Arabidopsis thaliana: one gene and its partners. The protein of the gene in region 2 interacts with the protein of the main gene of each other region in a pairwise test. Each region holds a gene or a part of one and is shown on either strand. Other genes may lie near its edges.

Region 1 (4,392 bases), on a different chromosome or scaffold from region 2:
TTCAACATCCTCCCTCGCCACCACAAGTGTCCACGTAAGCGCTCTCGACGGACTCGTGAACGTGAACTCTCTCTTCACCATCGCCGTCTTCGTTGGTCTTTCCTTAGCGACTCCAGGACAACACAGCCTCGAACAACGATCCAGCTGCGACGCAAGTGCTGACGTCGCCAAGAAGCTACTGGTCTTCGAAGTCGTCTCCTTCAGCTTCTTCCTCTTCTCCTCTCTTGTAGCTCAGGGTCTTAAGCTTGCCTTAAACCTTCTTAATAGCAAAGACGTCAACGAGATTTTCAGAGCTCACATCAATATCAAGGTTTTGAGATGGGGAATGATGGCTTCTGCTGTCGGATCTGTAATGGGCTGTCTCTTCTTGATGCTCTCTATGGTTAATGTGATTCAGATCCGTCTTGGTTTGCTCTCTTGCGGCAGCAAATCGGCGGCTCAAGCTGTTGCAACGCTCGTCACTCTGGTTTCCTCTGCTCTGCTGATTTACATCTCTACCGCCATTTACGCTTTCTGGCATTGATGCTATGTCAAAATTGGATAATGTCCATGGCTTTGTTTTGATTAGCCAATGTGTAATTTCATCATCAATGCCTTCCAATCTAGTTTTTTGTTTTTTTGTTTCGGAGAATGAAGAATCAATCACAAGATACAGAACATTGGATTATGAGAATTTGATGTTAAGCTTTTATGAACAGAAATGAAGCATTATGTTTGTTGTTTGGTGAAAGTATTGGACTCAATGTCTCTAACACTTTGGATAACACTATTGATGTTAATGGTGAGATGGTTGGAATGTTCTTCCATCTCCTTAAGGACCATATCAAGCTGCTGTTGCAAAGCAGTACAACGCCTTCTCTCTCGGCTCAGCTCTGCACTCAGCTCCCTAATCTTTGCGTCTTTCTCGTCCTGAAAAGTTCATTTGTACAAGATTTCGATATCATTTTTTGAGCTTTATGTTCTTGGTAACTCTTAGATCAATGCCAATAATCACTGTTTTACTTTTACCCCAAGGAAAAGTGCGTAGACGTACCGGTGTTTGAGGGAGCTGAAAATTCCGGCGAACATTAGGGGAGAGAGGCAAGAGAGGATGATTATGCTCTTTCTCAAATTTAGTAACAAGCCATGTTCCGGATTTCTCTCTTTTCACAACAATCAGAGCTTTACACCCTTCTCTTGTTATAGCCCGAGGCTTTCTACTCTCGCTTCTCCGAGGTCTCGACCTACGAAATCCTTCTTTATTACACACGAGTCTGCGCCACACCACAGTCCCATCTCGCATTGACCTCCTGAAAGCATCCACTCGCATAACGAAACCCATGCATGTAGCGTAATTGTCATAGAAAGACTTTGCAGCCTCTTCTGATTCAAACTCCATACCAATGAACGGCTCCACCATTGGAGAAGCTTCATCTGTGACTGTCTTCATTACATCTGAATTCTCCATCATCTCTACATCTTCTTCGGGTAAAGAGTTCCCTTCCACTGCCACAACACAACACACAAACATCTCAACTCAAAACAAATGATGCAAAGCTATGTCTTGTTCACCAAACCAGAAACTCTCTACCGAATACCTAACCAAACCCTAGAAAATCCTTATAAATTACCCACCCCTTTCTCTAACCAACTCTTAGCAGTTCTAATCTACTACATTCAGTCCTACGCTAGATATAGTGGACACTTCTTCCAAAGTTTATCAAATACACAATGGCTCGAAGATAAGCAGGTCCTCAAGAAGTGACTAATGGAAACATAAACCCTAAACTATGTATTCATAAACCCTAATGAATAGGCAGAGAGTAGCAATTTCAAGTGATATTACTCGAATTCTGAACTTCACCAAAGTGTAATCATGCAAGAAAAAAGAGAAAATCGAGTACATACAAACGCGAAATTGGGAATCAGATTCCATAATTTGATAACAAAAGGGAGCGAAAACCTCAAAATCATCGAAACAGATAGACGAGAATTTGAATAATAGATTGAATTATTGAATAGTAGAAAAGGGATTCGATTGAAGTACTCACTTGGAATGAAGATTAGAAAACTCCAAATTGTGTTTTCTTCAGAGAGAGGAAGTGATGATGATGATGATCTCTGAAGCTCAAGTTAGTAACTGGTAAGCGGTGAAGAAGACGACAAGAAAAAACCAAGATCTGGTCATAAATTCATTCCAGTCTCGCCCGTTGGATTACGAATAGTGCGAAACGGCACGTAGTTTATGTCTTGACGTCACTTGAAGAGTTAAACATCATGTAGTTTATAGTTTTTTCTCTTTTTACTTTTTACTTTGACCGCCTGACTAACATATTCCATGAGACACTTTTTTCCATTACTTTGACCTAAATCTTCACTTTAAAGACATAAATTCGATTGTTTGTTTGTTTTTTTGGGTAGAAATTCGATTGTTTGTTTGTGTTTAATCTTTGTAATTTACAAATACAAATATATTTTCATCATTTTATGATTATAAGCTAGATAGTGATAACTTTTTAAGTGCAACACCCAAATATATAAATAATAAAAGAATCATCAAGTGTTCCCGTAGATTCGCATGGTTATGTTTCAAAATCCGAAAAGCAAATTCATCAACAACATTTTTGTAGGAGCATTCAAAACAAAGCTCACAAAGTTTGTTGAGCTTTTTTCTTTTGCAAATCCATTCATCATCGCTTTCAAGGTTTTGCCCTAATAATCATTCCGAAGAAAAAAATACCCAATGATTTTGGGTCTCAAACCCGAACCCGAAAAATGAGTTTTTTTTTTACAAGTTTGATCCTAAGGCGGCAAATCCACCACCTTTCATCATTTGTTTAAACTCTTTGAAATTCACCATGCCATCTCCATCAACGTCAACTTTGCTTATCATCCTCTTGCAATCCTCTAGGGTTCTTCCTTGTTTGAGCCCCAAGGAAGCTAACACAGACCTTAGCTCTTCCACCGTGATGAACCCGTCCCGGTTCTGATCAAACACGTTGAAAGCCTCTCTCATGTCTTCCTCCTCGTCTCTTTCCTCCATTATCGTCTGGTACAACCCTCCAAACTCTTCGATGTCCACGTACCCATCACCGTTGAGATCAATCTTCTCGATCATCTGCACCAAGTCTTTGTCTGGAATGTAGATTCCTAGATTCTCCAATGAATCATTCAGCTCTTGCTTCGTGATTTTGCCATCACCGTTCCTGTCGAACATTTGGAAGATCCTGGCAAGCTCCGCTTGATCCATTCTTAATTGGAGTTTATTATTTATGAGCTTTGAACAGAGAATGAATGAGAACAAAACTAGAATATGGGTTTATAGAGAAGAAGAGAATTAGGGCAGGAGACAAGAAGGACTGCTTCTTAAAGGAAAAGGAGTGGTTACCATTTTAGAAAACTCATTACAACTGTGATCGTGGTCTGCACCAGTTTTCTGTTGAACTGGTCTTAAAATAGGTTTATGTCCTTCAAGAATACACAAAAACTAAAGTCTATCAATAGAGATACACACGGAATCTACACATTATCTCGTATTTTGTCATCTTCAAAACAGTTTTCCGTTAGGATAGTTATTTCAGGTTAAATCTTTTGAGACTCAATTTATGGTATAGACAAATATAATTCAATTCAAATGCTTATCGTCTGTTTGTATATGTTTGGTTAATTTTCTACAAAACTTATTTATTTATTTTATCTACATAAGATGTAACTTATTCTAAGTGGATTTGTTCTATACACTTCTTTTTTTGTCGATTTGAACATGGCGATGTTTCGAAAATAGAAGAGACAACTTGAACAATAATAAAATTAAAATAAAAGAGATAGCCTTTAAAATAGTCAAGGTCTTAATCACTTCTTAACAGATTGATAGTCTGTTAACAGGTTTAAATTATGTTGTATTGCACATCCTTATAAGACTGAGAGTAATGATTATTGTGTTAAGTGCACCACAAGCAGAAATTGATTTTGATATCGACGTTTTCAGGTAGATAGAGATGAGCATCCATTTTTCAGTTTGCTTTGGTTTCGGATTTTGAAAAACGAGTAAGAATTAGAAAACTATTCGCAACATTTAAAGATGCCTAAGCTGTGTTTAGAAACTACTGGTAGGAAAATAATATCTAAACAGTATACTCAATATGTTTTGTTACTGAATCAAACCCTGAACAAGAATCGATCCTACAAACAGAGTTTCTGTTTACAAGGCTCAAATCAAATCTACTAAACCATTGGTATAAGATGCCAGATCCATTCTACCTTATTCCCTTTCCCTAAAAGCAGAAACTGTGATTACAATGCTCAGAGTATATTTAATGTTATCTCAGCCTCACCAAAGATGCAGTGGTTATGAGAATGAAAGATCAAAACTCCACTAATTCTTCTAACTCAACGGAAACACCTCCTTAGACA
Region 2 (5,096 bases):
ACAAAGATTATGGTGGTTAGACATTTCCAATAATAGAATTAAAGGAAAAGTGCCTGAGTTGTTATGGACTCTGCCTTCTATGCTCCATGTAAATCTCTCACGCAACTCCTTTGATTCCTTGGAAGGTACGCCAAAAATAATCCTCAATTCGTCGATTTCGGAGTTAGATTTGAGTTCAAATGCCTTCAAAGGATCTTTTCCTATTATTCCACCTTATGTCAACATCATGGCTGCATCAAATAACTATTTCACTGGAGGCATACCACTTATATTCTGCAAAAGATATCGACTCAGTCTCCTTGATCTATCAAACAACAACTTCAGTGGGACAATTCCGAGATGCTTGACAAATGTGTCACTCGGACTAGAAGCGTTGAAACTCAGTAACAACAGCCTCACTGGGAGACTTCCGGACATAGAAGACCGCTTAGTACTACTTGACGTTGGCCACAACCAAATAAGTGGGAAGCTTCCAAGGTCTCTAGTAAACTGCACAACCCTAAAGTTTCTAAATGTGGAAGGAAACCACATCAACGACACTTTCCCTTTCTGGCTGAAGGCTTTGACGCGTCTTGAAATCATTGTTCTGAGATCAAACAGATTCCACGGTCCCATTTCTTCTCCTGAGGTCTCTCTTTCATTTACGGCACTGCGGATAATTGATATTTCCCGTAACAGCTTCAACGGGAGCCTACCGCAAAACTACTTTGCGAATTGGAGTGCACCTTTGGTTAATACCCCACAAGGATATCGTTGGCCAGAGTACACAGGAGATGAACACTCTAAATATGAGACCCCGCTTTGGTCTTATCCTTCCATTCATTTGAGAATAAAAGGACGAAGCATAGAGTTGGGAAAGATTCCAGATACATACACGTCGATAGATTTCTCAGGAAATAGTTTTGAAGGACAGATTCCAGAATCAATAGGTGATTTGAAATCGTTGATTGTTCTGGACTTATCTAACAACTCTTTCACTGGTCGTATTCCATCGTCGTTGGCCAAACTTAAACAACTCGAGTCATTGGATCTATCTCAAAACCGAATCTCTGGAAATATACCTCAAGAGCTAAGAGAGCTGACGTTTTTGGGATATGTTAACATGTCACATAACAGACTCACCGGCCAAATACCACAGAGTACACAGGTTGGAGGGCAACCTAAATCCTCCTTTGAAGGGAATATCAATCTTTGTGGTCTTCCTCTTCAAGAGAGTTGTTTAAGGGGAAATGGAGTACCATCAACACCACATACACAAGAGCAAGAACTACCAAAGCAAGAACATGCGTTGAACTGGAAAGCAGCTGCGATAGGCTATGGACCCGGAGTGTTGTTTGGACTGGCGATCGGACAAGCCTTTGCTCGATACAAACCGGTCTTGTTCTATAAGTTGTTTCGACTTTGAGATGTATTGTTTCTTCTTCTTCATTTTGGTGTTGAATCATATGTAAAATAATCAGTTTACTACTCTTTGCTTTTTGGGCTTTGACGATAAACTAACAACACAGCTTTGATTTTCTGGTTAATCTGTTTCGTATTAGACAGACTTTGTAAACTTTAAATGTTGCTCAAATGCTTGCTTGTTTAGTATACACACTTTGAACTACTCTTTCTATTTCAAGACTAATGTACTCTGTTATTTTGTAAAGTACTTGTTATATTATTAGCTTGAGCACATATAAAAAAATATATATATATTATATTTTATAGTTTTTTTTAGATTCGTTAATTATTAATATTATAGATTATTAAGTTCCAACAAGAGTGATATTATTTCATTTAGCAAGCTATTTCTTAAAACCCACTATATTTGCTGAGATTTGTGTATCTTTTATTCTTTTTAATTAACTATAAAAAATGTAAAAGAAAAATATATTTTCTGTTTATTTAGTGTTTATTTAATATTATAATATAATAATTCCTATGACACAGGTTTAAAACAAATAAAATCCCAGTAAAAATAATTTTTGGGATTATAATTTAATACTAAACAAGAAAATCTATGATGTATTTGCTAAAAATACAAAGTTTAAAAAACTAATTTTTTTATATACATTAAAAAAACATAATTTTAATATTTAGTTAAATAGAGTTTGGCCAATAAAAATATTTACTGTAGTTACAAAGTATATAAATTTAAAATAGTTTTAATGATTTTATTTTATTTTTTGTTTATAACATTTTATATTGTGAAACAAAATAAACATCCTAATATGAAACAGAATGACACTTCCAAAGATATGCCCAATTGAAGCAAAAGCCAGAACAGCTTTTAAATTGCAATGGTCTCTTCGGTTTTATCCATCCCTCCACAAACTTGTCTACTTCCACGATTACCCATCTCTGATTCTGTCAATTGCAAATCGAAAATCGTGTACTGTCTCTCCACAAGTGTCCGAGGAAGCTCCGTCAAGAGACAATCCACGGCCAGAACTCGCAGTTTCACTGAGACAAATCGTCGAACACCTTCCGTGCAATCCAAACATGAATTCTGGGAAGATCCAGATGATGGTAGCGACAGTGAAAACGAATATGAAGGAGAAGAAGAAGATGGTATTGGGAATGATTTAGATAACGAGAGTGATTGGGAAGATGACTCGAGAGTACAAAAGCTTACTACTACAGACAACTACGAGGAAGAGCTTGCAAAAGGTTCTTCTTTAAAGTCTCTCACTTTACTATTTTTATCCGAATTGTGTGTAAAAGATCACTCTTTTAGTATGAAGAACTGGAATAGTTTCAAAGTTAGTACTTTTGTGTGTGAATGTGTATCATTGCTTTACATGGGCTTGAGTATTTGCAGAGGTTGAACAACTTCTTGAACCTGAAGAAAGAGTAATTCTTCAGCAAAATGAGAAACCAAATCTCAAGATGATCTCAACAGTAAGTTTTCATGTGATTTTCTTCAGTATCTCTTATATGCATATCAATCTGTGATCATATTGCTACGAGTGTAGTGGTTTTGATTCACTTGGTTTGTATACTTATTGTGTAAATATGGAATCTGCAGAAGAGTTGGAAGCCACTTCAGACACTTGCTCTGTCAATGCAGATTCAGTTAATGGATAATCTTATTGAAAACGGACTAGACATTGATGATGTTGACAAGGTTTGCTTTTAAACATACCAAATCTGGTTTCTATTGTTTATCATGTCACTGACTGAATCTACAAAAACAGGACAACCAAACCGCTCTTCACAAAGCAATCATTGGTAAAAAAGAAGCGGTGATTAGTCATCTTTTGAGGAAAGGAGCTAATCCGCATCTTCAAGATCGGGTGAGAACTTATCTGGTTCCATTTACGTAGAACCCATTTGGAAAAGGTTCATACTTTATTAACCAGATTGTTCAAAGATACAGGACGGTGCAGCTCCGATTCATTATGCAGTTCAAGTTGGAGCCTTGCAGACTGTAAAACTACTATTCAAGTACAATGTAGACGTCAATGTTGCAGATAATGTTAGTACTTAGTAGCAACTAAAAGCTTATCTCAAGCCATTAAAAAATTTCTGATTTTGATTCGATGAAACTTTCTTTGTTTTACAGGAAGGATGGACTCCGTTACATATAGCTGTACAAAGCCGAAATCGAGACATTACAAAGATATTGTTGACCAATGGTGCTGATAAAACAAGACGAACAAAGGTGTTAATGGCGAAAATATGTGTAGAGAAAAACTGAGAGTATATGAATAGTTAGTTTGTTTTTGTTCGATAACAGATCAATTTGGTTTTGGTTTCTTGCTGTCTTTTCAGGATGGGAAATTAGCTTTGGACTTGGCTCTGTGCTTTGGAAGAGATTTCAAGTCATATGATCTGGTCAAGCTATTGAAGATTATGCCCACCGGGGATATATAGAAAGAGCTGGTGAGATTTTGAATGATCAGGTTGAGATTACTAAACTGCATTTGCCATTGCTTGGTTTGATTGTAATCTACACCGGTATAAGTGGTTAAGGTAGAAGAAACCCGATTGAGTTTGTAATTACTGCTTTTATATATTCGTGGATGAACTTGTTATTCGGGTGTGTGTATCATAATGTGCATAACAAAGATACACATTGTTATGTCATATATATTAAATTACAAGCATTGCAAGATTGTGCAAGTAAATAATAATTTTAAGGGTTATGCATTGCCTTTAAAATAGGGAAGACAAGTATATAATTTGTTCTCTTTCTCCACATCTTTTTTTTTTTGTTACCAACCATACATTGAAACATGCAAATGCATATGCACCTATTCGTTGATAAGTTCGCAGCAACATATTTTACAAGTTCCGGTCTCGTCACGGCTACAAAAAGCGGATTCATAATTATATCCATATTTTCCAGATACGCAATCCGTAAAGCATGAGTCCGTGTACGGTCCAACCGGGTGTTTGCAATCTGCATCGACAGATTTAGGTCCTGCAAAGACAGAAGCGTTAGTTTGAAGAAATATATGCATGTGAGTAGTCTTGGCCAATCTAAAACAGATTCGGATTAAAAAAAAAACTATGTCAAATATAAACATGATTATCAATTTGTTATTGAAAAACGACGAGGACTAACCAGAAATGATGAATATGATCATGATGGTGGTAATCAAAATTAGTAGAGGAGAAGATGATGATCTCTTGGATTCCATTGTTTTCGTATTAAGACTTGAGAGATAATGGTGTTTTTAATCAACTGAGAGATTATGGTTTTATAGGTTTTTTTTTTGTTTCACTTTTCCATATATATTGTGACTTTTGAGATATATCATTAACTAAAAATAGTTATCACAGCTATATCTTTTAAAAACTGGTTTTACTGAAAATGGCTGAATCTAGAAACAATTATTTTAAGGGAGATTTCGTCTAAAAATTAAAAACAACTAATTAAACACGCTTGTTGTGAGATATATCATCAACTGAAACTTGTTTGATTGTAATCTAAGTAGATAAAAGTGATTAAAGTAGAAGAACATGGTTTGGTTTTCTGAAACACTTTATTATTTATTTTTTTTTTGGGCCAAGGTTTTCTGAAACACTAAAAAATTTAAATTTGTTGTATAAAATCCATAAGCATCGAAAAAAGAACAATTCTTGGATTCACCCCCCTCTTTAATAAC
Region 3 (3,959 bases), on a different chromosome or scaffold from region 2:
AAATCAGCCAGTGCGATATCTTAACACCGAAAGAATACCTCCACTTTGATGATAGAAAACTATATAGTATCATGAACATAATACATTTTGAGCAGCTTACACATATATAACTGTTTGGATACTCATGTTGTTCAAATATCACAAACAACAAAATTTACCTGCCTGTTAGGATCCTTGGATCGTTCTGCAGAAAGGAATGCAATCGCCATGAAATAATCATCCCATGATAAGTACCTTCACAACAATTCAAACAAAATTCTACCATTAAAAATCAAAGCAGATTCTAAACTTGGGATTTTCTGAAAGTTGGAAACTTTAGCTATGGAATAACGAAATTAGATATATTGAATGGAATTATGACAAACCCATTTCGTTTCAAAGGACTGAAAGGATCTAGAGCAGGGAATTTTCTGGAAATTGCAGAGATTTCGGTGGAAGTGAATTTTCGGGATTTGGGGTTTTTAGGGTTTGATGAGAAGAAGCGAAATGCTAGAGCTGAAATCAAAGCACCGAAGATTGCAGATGTAGAGACGAGTGTAAGATCTCGAGAGTTCATGGGGAGCTTCAAAATCGATAAAACAGATTTATCCAGAAAAATCTTTGCTCTTCTCTCTTCACTATTAAATGTAGCGGGAAACTATAAGAGAGTGAAAATCCCCGCCATTCCGGTTAAGGCAGGTCTATCATTCGGTTCATATGATTGTTGGTTTAGGTTTCGGTTAATAACTAGATTGGTTTACTGATTGTGCTTTCTCTTCTCAGCAGAAAATTATGGCAATTAACAGATTTTGGTTAATTTCATTTTTTTCAAAAATTATGTGTTATTGAATCATTTATTTTATTATTTGTTATTTTTTTTTATTTTTTTTAGTATTGAGTGCTACCAATATATTTTTTGGATAAAAAAAACTATACCGGTCCAGATTTGATATCTCAACCATCTCTTCTATATTTCTATTAACTATGGATTTAAACTTTTTTGTATCGTTGATGTTTTGACAATCTTTTCAATTCACAAAAAGGTTATAAAAGATTGATTTTGAAATTTTGGTTAATGATCTTGTGAAAAAATTGACATTACCTTTCAAAATTTTTTTTTATAACTATAGTTCTATATTCTTATTTTGCGCTTTTAAGATACCGTCTCTGACTTTTTTATTGGTAGGCACGGTTGTGTATACCTATATAAGTTTTAGTTTTATTTCGCTATTTAGTTTTCTTTTGTCTAATGTAATGTAATATGAACTGGATAGATTAAGAAAACATAAAGTGGAAACGAACAAAGTTTGAAAAATAACAAATAATTGGAAACGTACATGAAACTATGAAACACATGAAACAAGTTAATAACTTTAAAAAAAAAACATTGAAAGCATTACGTACATTTTTATCTATAAATAACAAAATGTATTTAAAACATAACGACCAGGCAATCGTAGATCACAACACAATTCAGATTAGCTATTAAACCTGTGGAATTTTGTTTTTTTTTGTCATTTAGAGCGTCTATACTAATTAATGTAATTGAGATTGCAGCGGAAAGACTCAAACCCTAGTTTCCGAATTCTCAATCCTATAAATCTGTTATAATCTTTCAACTATTTAAATCACATATATAAATAAAATATAAACTGTTATATGAGAAGAATTTGATTAAATTACTAATATATACGGACTAAGCACATAGTAAGTGAGCTAGTTGCTAGCTTTTGAATCCATTAAGCCACGTGCATCACCAATTATTACACAACCCACATCCACATTTTCATTTTTTTAAAAGGATACGTTAATTAACAAATATACAATCGCAAAGTTATTAGTTACAAAAACATATAAAATGAGATAGATGATGAAAAAGTGAAAAGGGTTTCTTTAAAAAGCCTCTCATGCTTCAATAACGTGATCCGTTTATATCCCATCTTCTCTGTCTTTTCTTCAACGGAGATTTTCTCTACACCTTAACTATTTTTTTTCTTCCTATTTCTATCTTCGTTTTACTAACCTACCCTCCATTATTTTCACTTTACAAGTATGCTCCTCTTATGTTTTGGAAAAAAAAAAAACAATGAAATTTTGCAATTGCAAGTTATGTCATAATATATAGTAGCTTTAACGTAAAAAACAACATTAATCACGTTTGCGTTTACATGTTTATATTATTTCGACATAAACGCAAATAACATGTTCATCATTATAAAACATTCTAAAAATTTGGTTATTGGTGACTATTTATTTTGTAACTCGACAAAACTTAAAAAATCTTATATATCTAACCTATTTTTAACTTTAGTTGATTGTTGTACAATCACATCATTTCGTCTTATCATGGAACCACACTTGACAACAAATTCACATAATGGCGGTACGGTGGTCGTTTGTTAACTTTGAGGATTATATAAAAACCCAATGATCAAATAACCCAAAAAGATATGCATATTCGAATAAGGGGTTATAAGTGTAATTTCAAGTAGATAGTATATGTGCACAGACACGAAGCAGCTTACATATAAAGTGATTGGTAATTGCCATCCCCACACTTATTGAGAAGTGCAGCCTTTTAGCCAAAAAAAACAAACAAGAATACAAAAATGGCTGAACAACAAGATCATCACAAAGAGCTTCAGCTTTTACCTTCTCCACCGTCTACCGAATCTCCGGTAAGGAAACACCGACCAACAGTTATAACAACCGACCATCACAACAATCACCACCGTTCCTCCTCCATGATCCACCACGATCTTGACCTCAAACTCTCCATCAGCCTCAGCTCGATCTCAACAGCGGAGGAGCTTCCAAACGGTGGTGTGGAGGCGTTGAAGTGGCAAGCCGCGGAGCAGATAAGGCTTGCGGCTATAGAGAAGGCTTACGCCGAGAGGGTTAGAGAGTTGACTCGCCGTGAGATGGAGATGGCTCAGTCTGAGTTTGCTCGTGCAAGGTAGTTAAAGCTAGCTCGATCAAGTAATAATTCTGGTTTTGGTTTGGTTAACGGTTTTGAATTGTAACCAGGGTGATGTGGCAGAAGGCAAGGGAAGAAGTGGAGAGAGCTGAGAGATTGAAGGAGAGATCAATGACGAAGATCGATACGGCTTGCTTGGAGATCACTTGCCACTCTTGCAGACAAAGGTTTAGGCCATAACATAAGTATTTATTTGTTTCTCTTAATTATTGTTATTATAAATGGATATTTGAAGAGAAAGAGAATGTTGGTTTAATTTAAATTTTATTTTGTAGTTAAATTTAATTTGTTTTCATTTTCGAGTTTGGTAATATTATATAGTCCTTCCTTTTTATTTTCTTGAAATCGAAGGAAAACAATATGCTCAGATAAGAGATGATTTATGTTTCCAGCTACTTTACTTCCTCTTCTTTGCCAACCAAAAAAAAAAAAAAAAAAAATCATGAATACCATTTAGTGAATTACTTGGGAATTAGGGATAAAATTCATTAGTTACGTTGTCAACATTAGCTATGTCAATTCCTCAACGATCAGCTATTATATACTATATGGAGTATTAAAATCTAACTATGACATTTATTAACCAACAGAACAAAACCTAATTAGTAATTACAGTGATTAGTTAGTTAAATGCTTGATGTTAAAGTAACAAGAGATGGAGTGACATTCACAATCGAGGAACGTGGAAAATAAAAAAGAGAATGGACGGATTGCATGATTTGAATATAATTGGCTGACCCATATGTGATTCATTTGATTTGTTGTAATCATCTTTGAAAACGTTCGTTCAATGAAAATTGATGATTATTCTGAAAACAAATAATCAAACACACGTAAAGACATATGCATGGAGATGATGGGTATAATTATTGCATTAACATGCTTATTTCATCTACTTTAATCTCTTAGGTCGCTTTAAATAGTATATATGTGTGTACTATTATTTTGTGTTTGTGCATATACGTACATTTACTTACAGAAACTTGATAAATGTATGAATATT

The links. The genes of interacting proteins can lie anywhere in the genome.
Region 1: the proteins of EMB506 (region 2) and AT3G07500 interact in a two-hybrid assay, tested with the Arabidopsis thaliana proteins (one large-scale study listed by BioGRID).
Region 3: the proteins of EMB506 (region 2) and AT3G48550 interact in a two-hybrid assay, tested with the Arabidopsis thaliana proteins (one large-scale study listed by BioGRID).

The regions. Positions count from the first base shown.
Region 1 is NC_003074.8:2,390,026-2,394,417, reverse strand, and holds AT3G07500 (Far-red impaired responsive (FAR1) family protein), read right to left. Parts: upstream 2,203-4,392; 5' UTR 2,032-2,202; coding exon 2,031-2,031; intron 1,486-2,030; coding exon 1,034-1,485; intron 910-1,033; coding exon 709-909; 3' UTR 640-708; downstream 1-639. Other genes in the region: AT3G07510 (maternal effect embryo arrest protein), read left to right, coding at 1-523; AGD11 (ARF-GAP domain 11), read right to left, coding at 2,768-3,229.
Region 2 is NC_003076.8:16,061,488-16,066,583, reverse strand, and holds EMB506 (Ankyrin repeat family protein), read left to right. Parts: upstream 1-1,894; 5' UTR 1,895-2,282; coding exon 2,283-2,652; intron 2,653-2,803; coding exon 2,804-2,883; intron 2,884-3,010; coding exon 3,011-3,109; intron 3,110-3,179; coding exon 3,180-3,278; intron 3,279-3,361; coding exon 3,362-3,460; intron 3,461-3,547; coding exon 3,548-3,646; coding exon of another isoform or gene 3,647-3,682; intron 3,683-3,756; coding exon 3,757-3,858; 3' UTR 3,859-4,105; downstream 4,106-5,096. Other genes in the region: RLP54 (receptor like protein 54), read left to right, coding at 1-1,405; AT5G40155 (Defensin-like (DEFL) family protein), read right to left, coding at 4,239-4,408, 4,553-4,628. UniProt on the Arabidopsis thaliana protein: Involved in the initial differentiation of the proplastid during the embryo development. Also required for correct cotyledon, true leaf and cauline leaf margin development.
Region 3 is NC_003074.8:17,991,460-17,995,418, forward strand, and holds AT3G48550 (SHOOT GRAVITROPISM-like protein), read left to right. Parts: upstream 1-2,359; 5' UTR 2,360-2,588; coding exon 2,589-2,935; intron 2,936-3,006; coding exon 3,007-3,136; 3' UTR 3,137-3,320; downstream 3,321-3,959. Other genes in the region: AT3G48540 (Cytidine/deoxycytidylate deaminase family protein), read right to left, coding at 159-234, 366-556.